3 linked regions of the Macaca fascicularis genome follow. The protein of the gene in region 2 interacts with the protein of the main gene of each other region in a biochemical or structural test. Links are inferred from orthologs where the notes say so. Each region holds a gene or a part of one and is shown on either strand. Other genes may lie near its edges.

What was found.
Region 1: of the proteins of HSPB1 (region 2) and MAPKAPK3, one has a biochemical effect on the other in vitro, tested with the Homo sapiens proteins (2 studies listed by BioGRID and IntAct). The link is inferred for Macaca fascicularis from reciprocal best matches to the Homo sapiens genes HSPB1 and MAPKAPK3.
Region 3: the proteins of HSPB1 (region 2) and CS form a complex in vitro, tested with the Homo sapiens proteins (2 studies listed by BioGRID). The link is inferred for Macaca fascicularis from reciprocal best matches to the Homo sapiens genes HSPB1 and CS.

What each region holds. Positions count from the first base shown.
Region 1 is NC_088376.1:113,680,557-113,684,203, reverse strand, and holds part of MAPKAPK3 (MAP kinase-activated protein kinase 3), read right to left. Parts: intron 2,697-3,647; coding exon 2,621-2,696; intron 2,267-2,620; coding exon 2,142-2,266; intron 1,666-2,141; coding exon 1,580-1,665; intron 1,283-1,579; coding exon 1,202-1,282; intron 507-1,201; coding exon 354-506; 3' UTR 1-353. UniProt on the Homo sapiens protein: Stress-activated serine/threonine-protein kinase involved in cytokines production, endocytosis, cell migration, chromatin remodeling and transcriptional regulation.
Region 2 is NC_088377.1:51,430,765-51,434,198, forward strand, and holds HSPB1 (heat shock protein beta-1), read right to left. Parts: upstream 2,154-3,434; 5' UTR 2,114-2,153; coding exon 1,750-2,113; intron 1,046-1,749; coding exon 982-1,045; intron 864-981; coding exon 674-863; 3' UTR 551-673; downstream 1-550. UniProt on the Homo sapiens protein: Small heat shock protein which functions as a molecular chaperone probably maintaining denatured proteins in a folding-competent state. Plays a role in stress resistance and actin organization.
Region 3 is NC_088385.1:63,071,692-63,075,338, reverse strand, and holds part of CS (citrate synthase, mitochondrial), read left to right. Parts: intron 1-377; coding exon 378-507; intron 508-631; coding exon 632-733; intron 734-1,717; coding exon 1,718-1,927; intron 1,928-2,261; coding exon 2,262-2,432; 3' UTR 2,433-3,647. UniProt on the Homo sapiens protein: Key enzyme of the Krebs tricarboxylic acid cycle which catalyzes the synthesis of citrate from acetyl coenzyme A and oxaloacetate.

The sequences.
Region 1 (3,647 bases), on a different chromosome or scaffold from region 2:
GAAGATGGGAAGCCCAGCCACAACTCCCAGTGGCCTAGAAAGCTAAGGCCATGGACCAGGGCAGGACAGCACAGAGGCCTCACTCAGGCCATCCTGGCTAAAGGTGCTGCTATGGCAGCAGGCAGCTCCCAGCCCCTAGGCCCTGCCCGTCTCTAGGGCTTGAGCCTGGGCCAGAGATCTGAAGGAGGTTTAGGGTCAGGGTCCTCCATCCTGAAGTTCCAAGTGACAAATTAAAACACAACAAAATAATCCTTTTGTTAAAAGAATGACCCTGGGCCCTCCTGGCCAGGGCCTCAGCACATTCCAGTCTGTCATGCAGGCTGAGAGGCCAGGCTCCTCCAAGGTCCCATGAGCTACTGGTTGTTGCAGCCCTGAGAGGCAGAGGAGCTGCCTGCCTGCTTTTTTCTCCTCTTGTTGAGGAGCCGGTTGTTAGAGGTCTTCAGGTCCTTGATCTTCACCTGATCGTAGTCCACCCGCATAGTGGCTAAGGCACTGGTCATCTCCTCCTGGGGACAGACAGGATGGGGGGCACTAAGAGGTCAGGATGTACTGACGTTAGGAACTATCACCCCCTGCCTGGGCAGCCCCTTAACAGTGTCAGTGACAGCCTGTGCTGCTTCTGTGCCCACTGTGTGCCCAGCACTGGGCCAAGCCCTTTGCATCACATGAGGGACCGCACTACAGTCCTCAGTGGCAGACACTGAGCTTCTTCACAAAGGCACAAAAGGAGAGTTATTCCCTGGGACCACACCAAGGGTAAGTGGGATAGTGAACTAAACCACTTCCACCACAGAACCACAAGACCTTCAGAGAATGCCATCTCGCTGGGCAACCAGCACACTGGGGCGTGGAGTTTGTGCCACTGGAGCTGCTACCCCATATATTCAAATGTGGCCTCTGCTGGGTCTAAACCAGGCTGACCACCCTCCCAAATGTTGTTGGTTATAAGAGAGGTCATCATTCAAGCTTGGTACCAAAGCCCTGTTTCATTGAGAAAGTACACCAGGAGCACCACACTGAATGGGGTAGTGAGGCCCAATCCTTGGAGTGCCATGGTTGGACCACTGTGACAGTCACTGACATCCTGTCCTCCAGGCATAGAAAGGGGCCAAAGACCCCAGACTCTGGGTAGCCACCCCCCTGAAGTCCCTTTTGCCCAAATCCTGGCACCTGTAGTGAGACTGAGGCAGAGCCCACCCACCTTGACTTCGTCCCAGTGGTCTTTGTCTTCCTGCAGCACTCGGGCCGTGTGGAGTGGGGTCTGTGGCACCACCATCGATTGCTGGAAGGAGCCCCATGCCCATGGATTAGAAACTGGAGGCACCTGGGACAGCACTGGTTCCCCCAACTCCATCCCCTTCTCCGAGTCTCAGATGGGAAAACTAAGGCTTGGGGTGCGGAAGGACCCTCAATGGGGCAGTGGCAAAGCCAGGTTGTAGGTGAGGCCCTACTATCTACCTGTGCGCATGGGCCCATTCCAGCCCTGTACTGGGGCCTCAAAGCAGAGCCACCACCCTCCTGCCCGGCAGTCCCACTCCGGCTGGACACCCTGCCTGCCATGGGAGGAGGAGGGGCTCACGTTGATCCAGGGGTGGTTCATAAACTGAGTGATGGTCAGCCTCTCTGTGGGGTCCGTCTTCAACAGGAGGCGGATCAGCTGCTTGGCTAGGGAGGCCAGGGAAGAGAGGGGAGAGGTGAGGTTGCAGAGTTCCTCAGAGCCAGCCCCTCCACCCTTCCCCATAGACCACAAGCTCTGCTGAGGCAGGGGCTGCATGTGCTCCCAAATTCCCAACCCACAGAAAGAGTGAGCTAACAACTATTTCTTGTTTTGAAGCACTAAGTGTCCAGGATAACTGGTTAAGCAGCAGTAGATAACTCATACAGGGCAGCCTTGTTTGTGGTCCTCAGAAGGGAAAATATGAATGAGGAATAGGAGTTAGAGGGAGTTTTGAGGAAGCAAGTTTTGAGCCTGTTTGACAGATGTAGAAACTGAGGCTCAAGAAGGTTAGGGGACTTGCCTAGGATCCCATAGCTGGGAAGAGGGGGAGCCAAGATTTGAACACAGGTCAGTTTGACACCAAAGTGATGTTTCCCAGAATGAAAGCTGCAGGGGCCAGGCTGGGACAGAGAGGTTCACTCACCATCCTCAGAGACCTCTGACCACTCAGGATTGGGGAAGCCATACTGGCCCAGGCGGATCCTTCTCTTCATCCCTGGGGAGATGGCCTGGCCCGTGTTGGAGTAGAAGGGTGGGAAGCCACAAAGGCTGGGGGAAGGGGTAAGTCATTTGGCATAGGGTGGGACCAGTGCCAGGGTAGACCCATTTCCCCTCAAAAGTCCCTGACTGGGGAGACAGGCAACCAGACACCATGGCAATAATACCAGCCCTCCAGACTCCCAGGCATATCCCAGGAATGCCATCAGCCCTTGGCATGGGGAGACCCTCAGGCACCTGAAGGAGTGGTGTCCCATGACCAAAAGGGAAGGGCAGCCTGCATGAGGAGTGACACACACAAGCCCCTCACCAAGGACATGGGGGTAGGGGGACAGAAGTGGTCCTGAGGGCTCACAGTGGGGGTGAGGACAGAAGATGGAGGCAGGAGGTGGGGAAGGTACTCACAGGATGTACATGATGACACCCAGGGACCACATGTCACATGACTTGTCATACTTCTCTGGACCCAGGACCTCAGGGGCTGCCAGGGCAGAGGGACATCAGGGCTCTCAGACCCAAGGGTCTTAGAGCCCAGGCAGAAGCCTGAAGCCTGGGCGAGGTGGGGAGCAGGTACCTGGGCTGGGAGGTAGGGCAGAGCAGACTGGCGTCTGGCACCTTTTGGAAAGGCAGCACGTGTGTGAAGCTGGGGGAGGAGAAAGCTCCCGGAAAAAAATCAACCACTTTCAGACATACCCCTAGCTCCCTTGGGCCTGGGCCCCTCTGCCAGTCTCAACCTTGGTGAAATAAGAGAAGGCCAGTCTGGGGCTTGGTGGGAAACTGCCGTAGGTGAGAGGGTCTTGGCCTGCCAGCTGTCCTGTGTCCCTTGCCTCCCAGAATGCACAGCCTAGGTCACAGGCAAGGAGGAACCAGGGGCAAGGCTCTGCATTCCATCATCAGCTTGGCTACCAATCCATGGGGCCTGTCTTCCCTGTGCAATGAGGTGGGTAGGCTAGAAGATTTCTAAGTTAAAATACTGCAAAACACATCCTAGTTAACAGAGTGCCATTTCAACTATCTCAGGGAGCTTCCCACCCCTTCAGCAGCCCTCCAGGAAGACCTCTTCTGAGGAAGAAAAGCCCTCTGTCATCAGCCCACTCTCAGGTTAGGGGGCAGTTTTGGCGAGGAGCATTTTCAGATCTGGGGGTTGCCCACTTGCAGAAGGGCAAGGAACTTTTCCAGGAAACATGAGTATGTGCACACCTCCAAGCCCTGGCTTTAGTGACTCTCTCCCACAAGGCAGGTGACTGGTACCCTTTGTCCCTCCAGGTTAGGAGGAAATGCCTGCCCGCTTTCTGAATATGAATCCCAGGAAGACAAAAACTAGAGAAAAACAACCGCGGTTGGGCTCCGTCCCGAGCTGATGGCAGCCTTTTATCACATATATATTTAGAGCTGCTGTGATGTCATTCAGCTCACAGGCCACAGCCAGAAT
Region 2 (3,434 bases):
CAATCATGACCTTTTTTTTTTTTTTTTTTTTTTTTTTTTTTTTTTTTTTAAAGACAGGGTCTCACTCTTTCTGAGCTTTTGATTGTTTTGTTTTTTTGAAACAGGATCTTGCTCTGTTGTCCAGGCTGGAGTGCAATGGCACGATCTTAGCTCACTGCACCCTTCAACTCCTGGGCTCAAGCGATCCTCCTGCCTCAGCCTCCTGAGTAGCTGGGACTACAGGCATGCAGTAACACCCTGGCTAATTTTTATTTTTTAGAGACAGAGTCTCACTACATTGTCCAGACTGGTCTAGAATTCTTGACTTCAAGCACTTCTCCTGCCTCAACCCCCCAAAGGGCTGGGATTACAGGTATGAGCCACTGCGCCCGGCCCTACGACCTCTCTTTATGTGAGTCAGCCCGTGTCCAGCAACCTACATCAGTGTACCAACATGGCCCAGCACGGGGCTGGGCACACAGTACACCCTGAGTAAAGGTGACTTGTGGAAGCCAGCAAATGGCAGGTGCCTGAGGCTTCCTTCCACAAATACCAGGGTCTGAGCCAGTGACAGGTGGGTTACTTGGAACTTTATTTGAGAAAAACAAGATAAACGTATCAAAAGAACACACAGGTTGAGGGTGGGGGGGCGCAGCCAGTGGCGGCAGCAGGGGTGGGCATCCGGGCTAAGGCTTTACTTGGCGGCAGTCTCGTCAGATTTTGCAGCTTCTGGGCCCCCAAGCTGGGCCCGCGACTCGAAAGTGACCGGGATGGTGATCTCGTTGGACTGTGTGGCTAGCTTGGGCATGGGGGCTTCCACGGTCAGTGTGCCCTCAGGGGACAGGGAGGAGGAGACCTGGGTGGGGTCCACACCGGGGGGCAGCCTGGACGTGCAGAGAGAGAAGGCGAGCGTTACATTACACACTGGGTGGGTCCCTGTGCCCTCCTCCCTGACCCCCGCCCCCCGCCCCCCACCCACCCCGATCTGGCGCCAGGACTCACGTGTATTTCCGCGTGAAGCACCGGGAGATGTAGCCATGCTCGTCCTGCCGCTCCTCGTGCTTGCCTTTTGGGGAAAGAGGGAAATCAGACTATGGGGGAGGGGACCGCCTCTCGGCCCCGCCAGGCCAGAGGCCCCACCTCCTGCTTGGAAGCAGCTAGGACTGCAGGCCGGCAGGGATTAACGGAGGGGGTTGGGGGTGGGGGCGTGCCCGCCTGTCCGGGTTCTCAGAAACTTCCGGAAAGTTCCTCGATTCAGAGTTTTGGGAGGAATGGAGCAGGGCGCCGAGCTGGGGAGTGAGCAGTGCCCAGGCGCACTTGGAGCCGCACGCACGCCCTCTCCGCGGCTAGAAACAGGGAACCCGCTTATCTGGGGATGGGGTTGTGGGTGGGGAGGGGGCTCTGTGGAAAGGTGCATTTTCTCTCTTCATTGATGGTCTTTTAAAAAATTTTTTTGGTTGCTTTTTAATTTTTTTGTAGTGTTGGGGGGCGTCTCGCTATGTTGCCCGGGCTAGTCTTGAACTCCTGGCCTCAAGCCATCCTCCCGTCTCGGCCTTCCAAAGCGCTGGGATTACAGAGCACAAAGCGCCCTTAGAAGCGACCTGCACTCCCAATTCCTGAGCAGAGGAATCAGGGATCCTGTTTTTCCCGGTGCTGGGCTAACATTTAACTCCCCAGGCCCCCGGGACCCCCGTTTCAACCGCACCCCTCCCCCGGCCCTGCCCGCCCCGCTAGCCTCCTCCCCTCCTCTGCAGGACCAGGGGGACTCACCGGTGATCTCCACCACGCCATCCTTGGTCTTAACCGTTAGCTCGTCCGGGGCGAAGTGGTTGACATCCAGGGACACGCGCCAGCGGTCCGCCGTGTGCCGGATCTCCGAGACCCCGCTGCTGAGCTGCCGGCTGAGCGCGCGGCTGTAGGCGGGCGCGGCCACCGCGGGGCTCTCGATCGCGGCGGGGGGCAGGGGGCGCACGTAGCCTGGCCAGCTGCTGCCGCCCAACCACTGCGACCACTCCTCGGGCAGCCGGGGCAGCCCGAAGGCCTGGTCGAAGAGGCGGCTGTGCGGGTACCAGTCGCGGAAGGGATCCCAGCTGGGGCCCCGCAGGAGCGAGAAGGGGACGCGGCGCTCGGTCATGCTGGCTGACTCTGCTCTGGACGTCTGCTCGGAGAAGTGCGGGGCGCTGGGCCCGGCTGCGCTTTTATGCGGTTCCAGTCGGGTATTTTTAGCAGGCGGTGTTTGAGGTCTCTATTAATGGCAATGACCCGTTTGAGGGCCGCCCCTCCCCATGCACTCCTCCCCTAGCGTTCAGGGGCCGTGGGCGGGGCGAAGAGGGTTCTGCCCTCATCTGGAACCTTCTCTCGTTAAGGAAAACAAATGAGTTCGAGAGCTCGAAGCTGGAGCCGTGCCACGGCAGGGCACTCGCCGGCCCTGGTGCTTAAGAGCTGCCGACTGTGACCCGTGGCCAGGGCCGTTCTTTTGTTAAGGAGGACAGAGCCAGGCAGGTTGGGTTGGGGCATACAACTGAGAAGTGGCAGCGGCAGGATTGGAATCACAAGCGTGTGAGATGGAATGTGATATAAAGCAGGCTGGTGCTTGAGCCCAGGAGTTCGAGGCTGCAGTGCGTTATGATCTTACCACTGCACTCTAGCCTAGGCAACAGAGCAAGGACCTGTTAAAAAAATTTTTAAAAAGGGGCCGGGTGCGTGGCTCATGCCTGTAATCTCAGCACTTTGGGAGGCCAAGGCAGAAGGGTCCCCTGAGGCCAGGAGTTTGAGACCATTCTGGGCAACATAGTGAGACCCTACCTCTACCAAAATTTTTTTTAAAATTAGCTGGGCATGGTGTGCACGCCTGTGGCCTCAGCTACTCTGGAGGCTGAGGCAGCAGGCTCCTTTGAACGCTGGTGAGCTCCTTTGAACGCTGGTGAGTAGAGGCTTTGGTGAACCTGGATTGCACCACTGCACTTCAGCATGGGCTGCAGAGCAAAACCCTGTCTCAAAATAAGTAAATGAATAAATACAAATACAAAGATAAAGCAGTCTGGGCTGGGTGTGGTGGCTCACCCCTGTAATCCCAGCACTTTGGGAGGCTGAGGTGGGAGGATCACCAGAGGTCAGGAGTTTGGGACCAGCCTGGCCAACATGGTGAAACCTCATCTCTACTAAAATTACAAAAATTAGCTGGGTGTGGTGGCGGGCGCCTGTAATCGCAGCTGCTGGGGAGGCTGAGGCAGGAGAATTGCTTGAACCCCGAAGGCAGAGGTTGCGGTGAACTGAGATCTCACCACTGCACTCCAGCCTGGGCGGCAGAGCGAGACTCCATCTCAAAAAAAAAAAAAAAAAACAATCTGGTAATCTGGTACGGTTGTTAGGAGTGTGGACTTTGAAGCCAGACTGCCTGAATTCACATCTTGGTTCTGTCACTAAGCAGATGAACTTGTGCAAGTTAGATTCTT
Region 3 (3,647 bases), on a different chromosome or scaffold from region 2:
CCTCCACTTCCAGGTTCAAGTGATTCTCCTGCCTCAGCCTCCCAAGTAGCTGGGACTACAGGTGTGTGCCATGATGCCCAGCTAATTTTTGTATTTTTAGCAGAGATGGGGTTTCACCATGTTGGCCAGGATGGTCTTGATCTCTTGAACTCTTGATCTGCCCGCCTCGGCCTCCCAAAGTGCTAAGATTATAGGCGTGGGCCACCGCACCTGGCCAAGATTAGGATGTCTTTTATAAGAGCTTAGGTGTAACTGACTGGCTATAGGCTGGCATGAGCCCGTAACTAGGCTAGTAAGTGGCAAATAAGAGAACAGCAAGGTTTCCATAATCTGCCCCTTCTTTCTCCCCTTGGCTCTCCCTTCTTACTTCCCCACAGTGACCATGAGGGTGGCAATGTAAGTGCCCATACCAGCCACTTGGTGGGCAGTGCCCTTTCAGACCCTTACCTGTCCTTTGCAGCAGCCATGAACGGGCTGGCAGGGCCTCTCCATGGACTGGCAAATCAGGTAAGACTATTCTTTTTTATTTTCCTGCTACATGTTTTCCTTACCCCATGCTTTGTTTCTGATCTTGGCATTGTCTCCTGGCATATGTATTAACATGCCCTTTTTCCCCAAACCTTACCCATAGGAAGTGCTTGTCTGGCTAACACAGCTGCAGAAGGAAGTTGGCAAAGATGTGTCAGATGAGAAGTTACGAGACTACATCTGGAACACACTCAACTCGGGACGGGTAAGCAGAGATGCTTAATGACTAGGAAAGAAACCAAGACCCAAGTTCTGCAATTTGGAAGAATTAAGAAGAAAAGAATGAAAGAGGTCCCTAAATTAGAGATTTTTTTTTTTTTTCATTTATCTACCTTGAAGAATTTAGAACAGAATTTCTAGTTGGGCACAATGGCATGCACCGGTAGTCCCGCCTACTTGGGAGGCCGAGGCAAGAGGATTGCTTGAGGCCAGGAGTTCAAGTCTGAAGTGTGCCAAGATCACTCCTGTGAATAGCCACTGCACTCCAGCCAGGACAACATAGCAAGACCCTGTCTCTAAAAAAAGATTTTAAATAGGTCGAGTGTGGTGGCTCACGCTTATAATCTCAGCACTTTGGGAGTCCAGGGTGGGTGAATCGCTTGAGCCCAGGAGTTTGAGACCAGCCTGAGCAACATAGACCCTAATCTTTTTTTTTTTTTTTTTTTAAAGACAGAGTCTCGCTCTTGTTGTCCAGGCTAGAGTGCAGTGGTGCAACCTTGGCTCACTGCAACCTCCGCCTCTCGGGTTCAAGCGATTCTCCTGCCTCACCCTCTCGTAGCTGGGATTACAGGCATGCACCACCATGCCCAGCTAATTTTGTATTTTTAGTAGAGACGGGGTTTCTCCGAGTTGGTCAGTTGGTCAGGCTAGTCTCGAACTCCCAACCTCAGGTCATCCGCCCACCTCAGCCTCCCAAAGTGCTAGGATTACAGGCGTGAGCCACCGCACCTGGCCAGACCCCATCTTTACCAAAAAAAAAAAAAAAGCCAGGTGTGTTGGTGTGCACCTGCGGTCCCAGCTACTCTGGAGGCTGAAGTGGGAGGATTGCCTGAGCATGGGAGGTCGAGGCTGTCATGAGATGTGATCATGCCATTGCACTTCAGCCTGGGTGACAGAGGAGTGAGATCCTGTCTCAAAAAATAAAAGAATTTCTACTGAGAATACTATCTTTTTTCCCCACTCTTTACAGGTTGTTCCAGGCTATGGCCATGCGGTACTGAGGAAGACTGATCCACGATATACCTGTCAGCGAGAGTTTGCTCTGAAACACCTGCCTAATGACCCCATGTTTAAGTTGGTTGCTCAGCTATACAAGATTGTGCCCAATGTCCTCTTAGAGCAGGGTAAAGCCAAGAATCCTTGGCCCAATGTAGATGCTCACAGTGGGGTGCTGCTCCAGGTAAGTCCTCCTTTCCCTCTTTTCCCTCTAATTTGTACCAAACCCTATTGTTATCTGTCATGAACAAAGTCAGTTAACTCCTAGTCAGAGCAAGGACTTCCTTCACAGAGCATTTTGATAAAGTTGACTATGACAGGGTTGAGGGTTGGGGTTGCTCTGTTTTCAGAATCCCAATTGCTATACTTTTCTCAGTGTCATTTCTATTTAAGGTTGACTGGGCTAAGTCCTTGGAGAAAAACAGAAAATTGAGCTTTTAAGGTTTCTATCACCCAGGACTTGTACATGCCACTGTCTCTGCCTCTGCCTTAAACCCTTTTTCTCTTCTACCTTACAGTATTATGGCATGACGGAGATGAATTACTACACGGTCCTGTTTGGGGTGTCACGAGCATTGGGTGTACTGGCACAGCTCATCTGGAGCCGAGCCTTAGGCTTCCCTCTAGAAAGGCCCAAGTCCATGAGTACAGAGGGTCTGATGAAGTTTGTGGACTCTAAGTCAGGGTAAAACTGGAGACTGGGGGAAAGTGACTACCAGAAAGTGAGGAAGCCTAAATAAAAAGTATACTTTTGTTTCAGGGGGCCTTTAAAGACATAAGATTAAATTATATCTGAGGCACTGATAATATGTTTGAGGTTAAAATATAAATTAAGACTTTAAAAGATGAAAAATGATCCCTTCTTCCCTAATCAGCTCCCTTCCCCTGCCTGGTATGAGTTGCCCATCACAGGGGTGGTCCTGGAGGATGACGGGGACTAATGCCTGTGGTATGAGTAGGTTTGGCCCCCTCACTATCTCTAGAGTGAGAATCTGCCTCCTGTTTCCATGGGTCAAAGCCAGTTGCAGAGAACCTGCAGTCACTTCGGAGCTTTAGCTTCTTCTCTGCCAAGCCCTCAATAAGCCAGCAAACCAGGACTCTGCCCCTTCTGTTTCCATAGGAATCGTGTTGGATAGTCAGCTGTACCAAGCCCCTTGGCACTCTCCCATACACACAAACACTTTCTAGCAAGACCTGTTGGTTAGCTGGACGTGCTTTGGCAATTTTTTTATACTATCAAGTGACCATAAAGGCATGGCATTTGTTGTGACTGGCACCCAATGTTTGATTTCTTTTTTAAAAAACTATCCAATTAAGGTCTGGGAGTGTTCTGTTTCCCATTACTTTAATACTCACCTCCTCCTCCCAGACTTTCTACACCTGTTGCACCTCAGGCTGAGGATGTTCTGGACCACCCCTCTTGGTCCCTGCTAGAGACCTCTCAGATCTGTGGGCCCAGTCATTGGGTTTTATCAGTGCTTAATGTGAACTAAGTTTTTTACTTCCATAGAATACAAGCCACTATCCTCTGATCTCCCCACCCGCCACCAACCCCTGTCTTTTAACATGCTGTGGGGCATAGAACAGGGACTCAGGAATGACCAGCATGATATTTTCAGGGTCTTGTCCCTAGGGTAATAGCACCTCTTTTTGAACAGATAATTGATTCAAGATTGGACATGGTCTCCTCTGATTATCAGGTACTGGGGCTGAGGGCATTAAAAATAGTAAACCTCCCTCCTCGTCCCCTGCCTCAAGAAAATGCCTCCTTATTTATCAATATCCTTTTCCTCCCTTTCCCTGAGAGCTCACAGTACAATGTTTGTTTTAGAAGCCCCATTTGCACAGGTTTTCAGCAACTCAGAATGCTCTACTTCCTCTTCTTTGAGAAAGGATTGAGATAC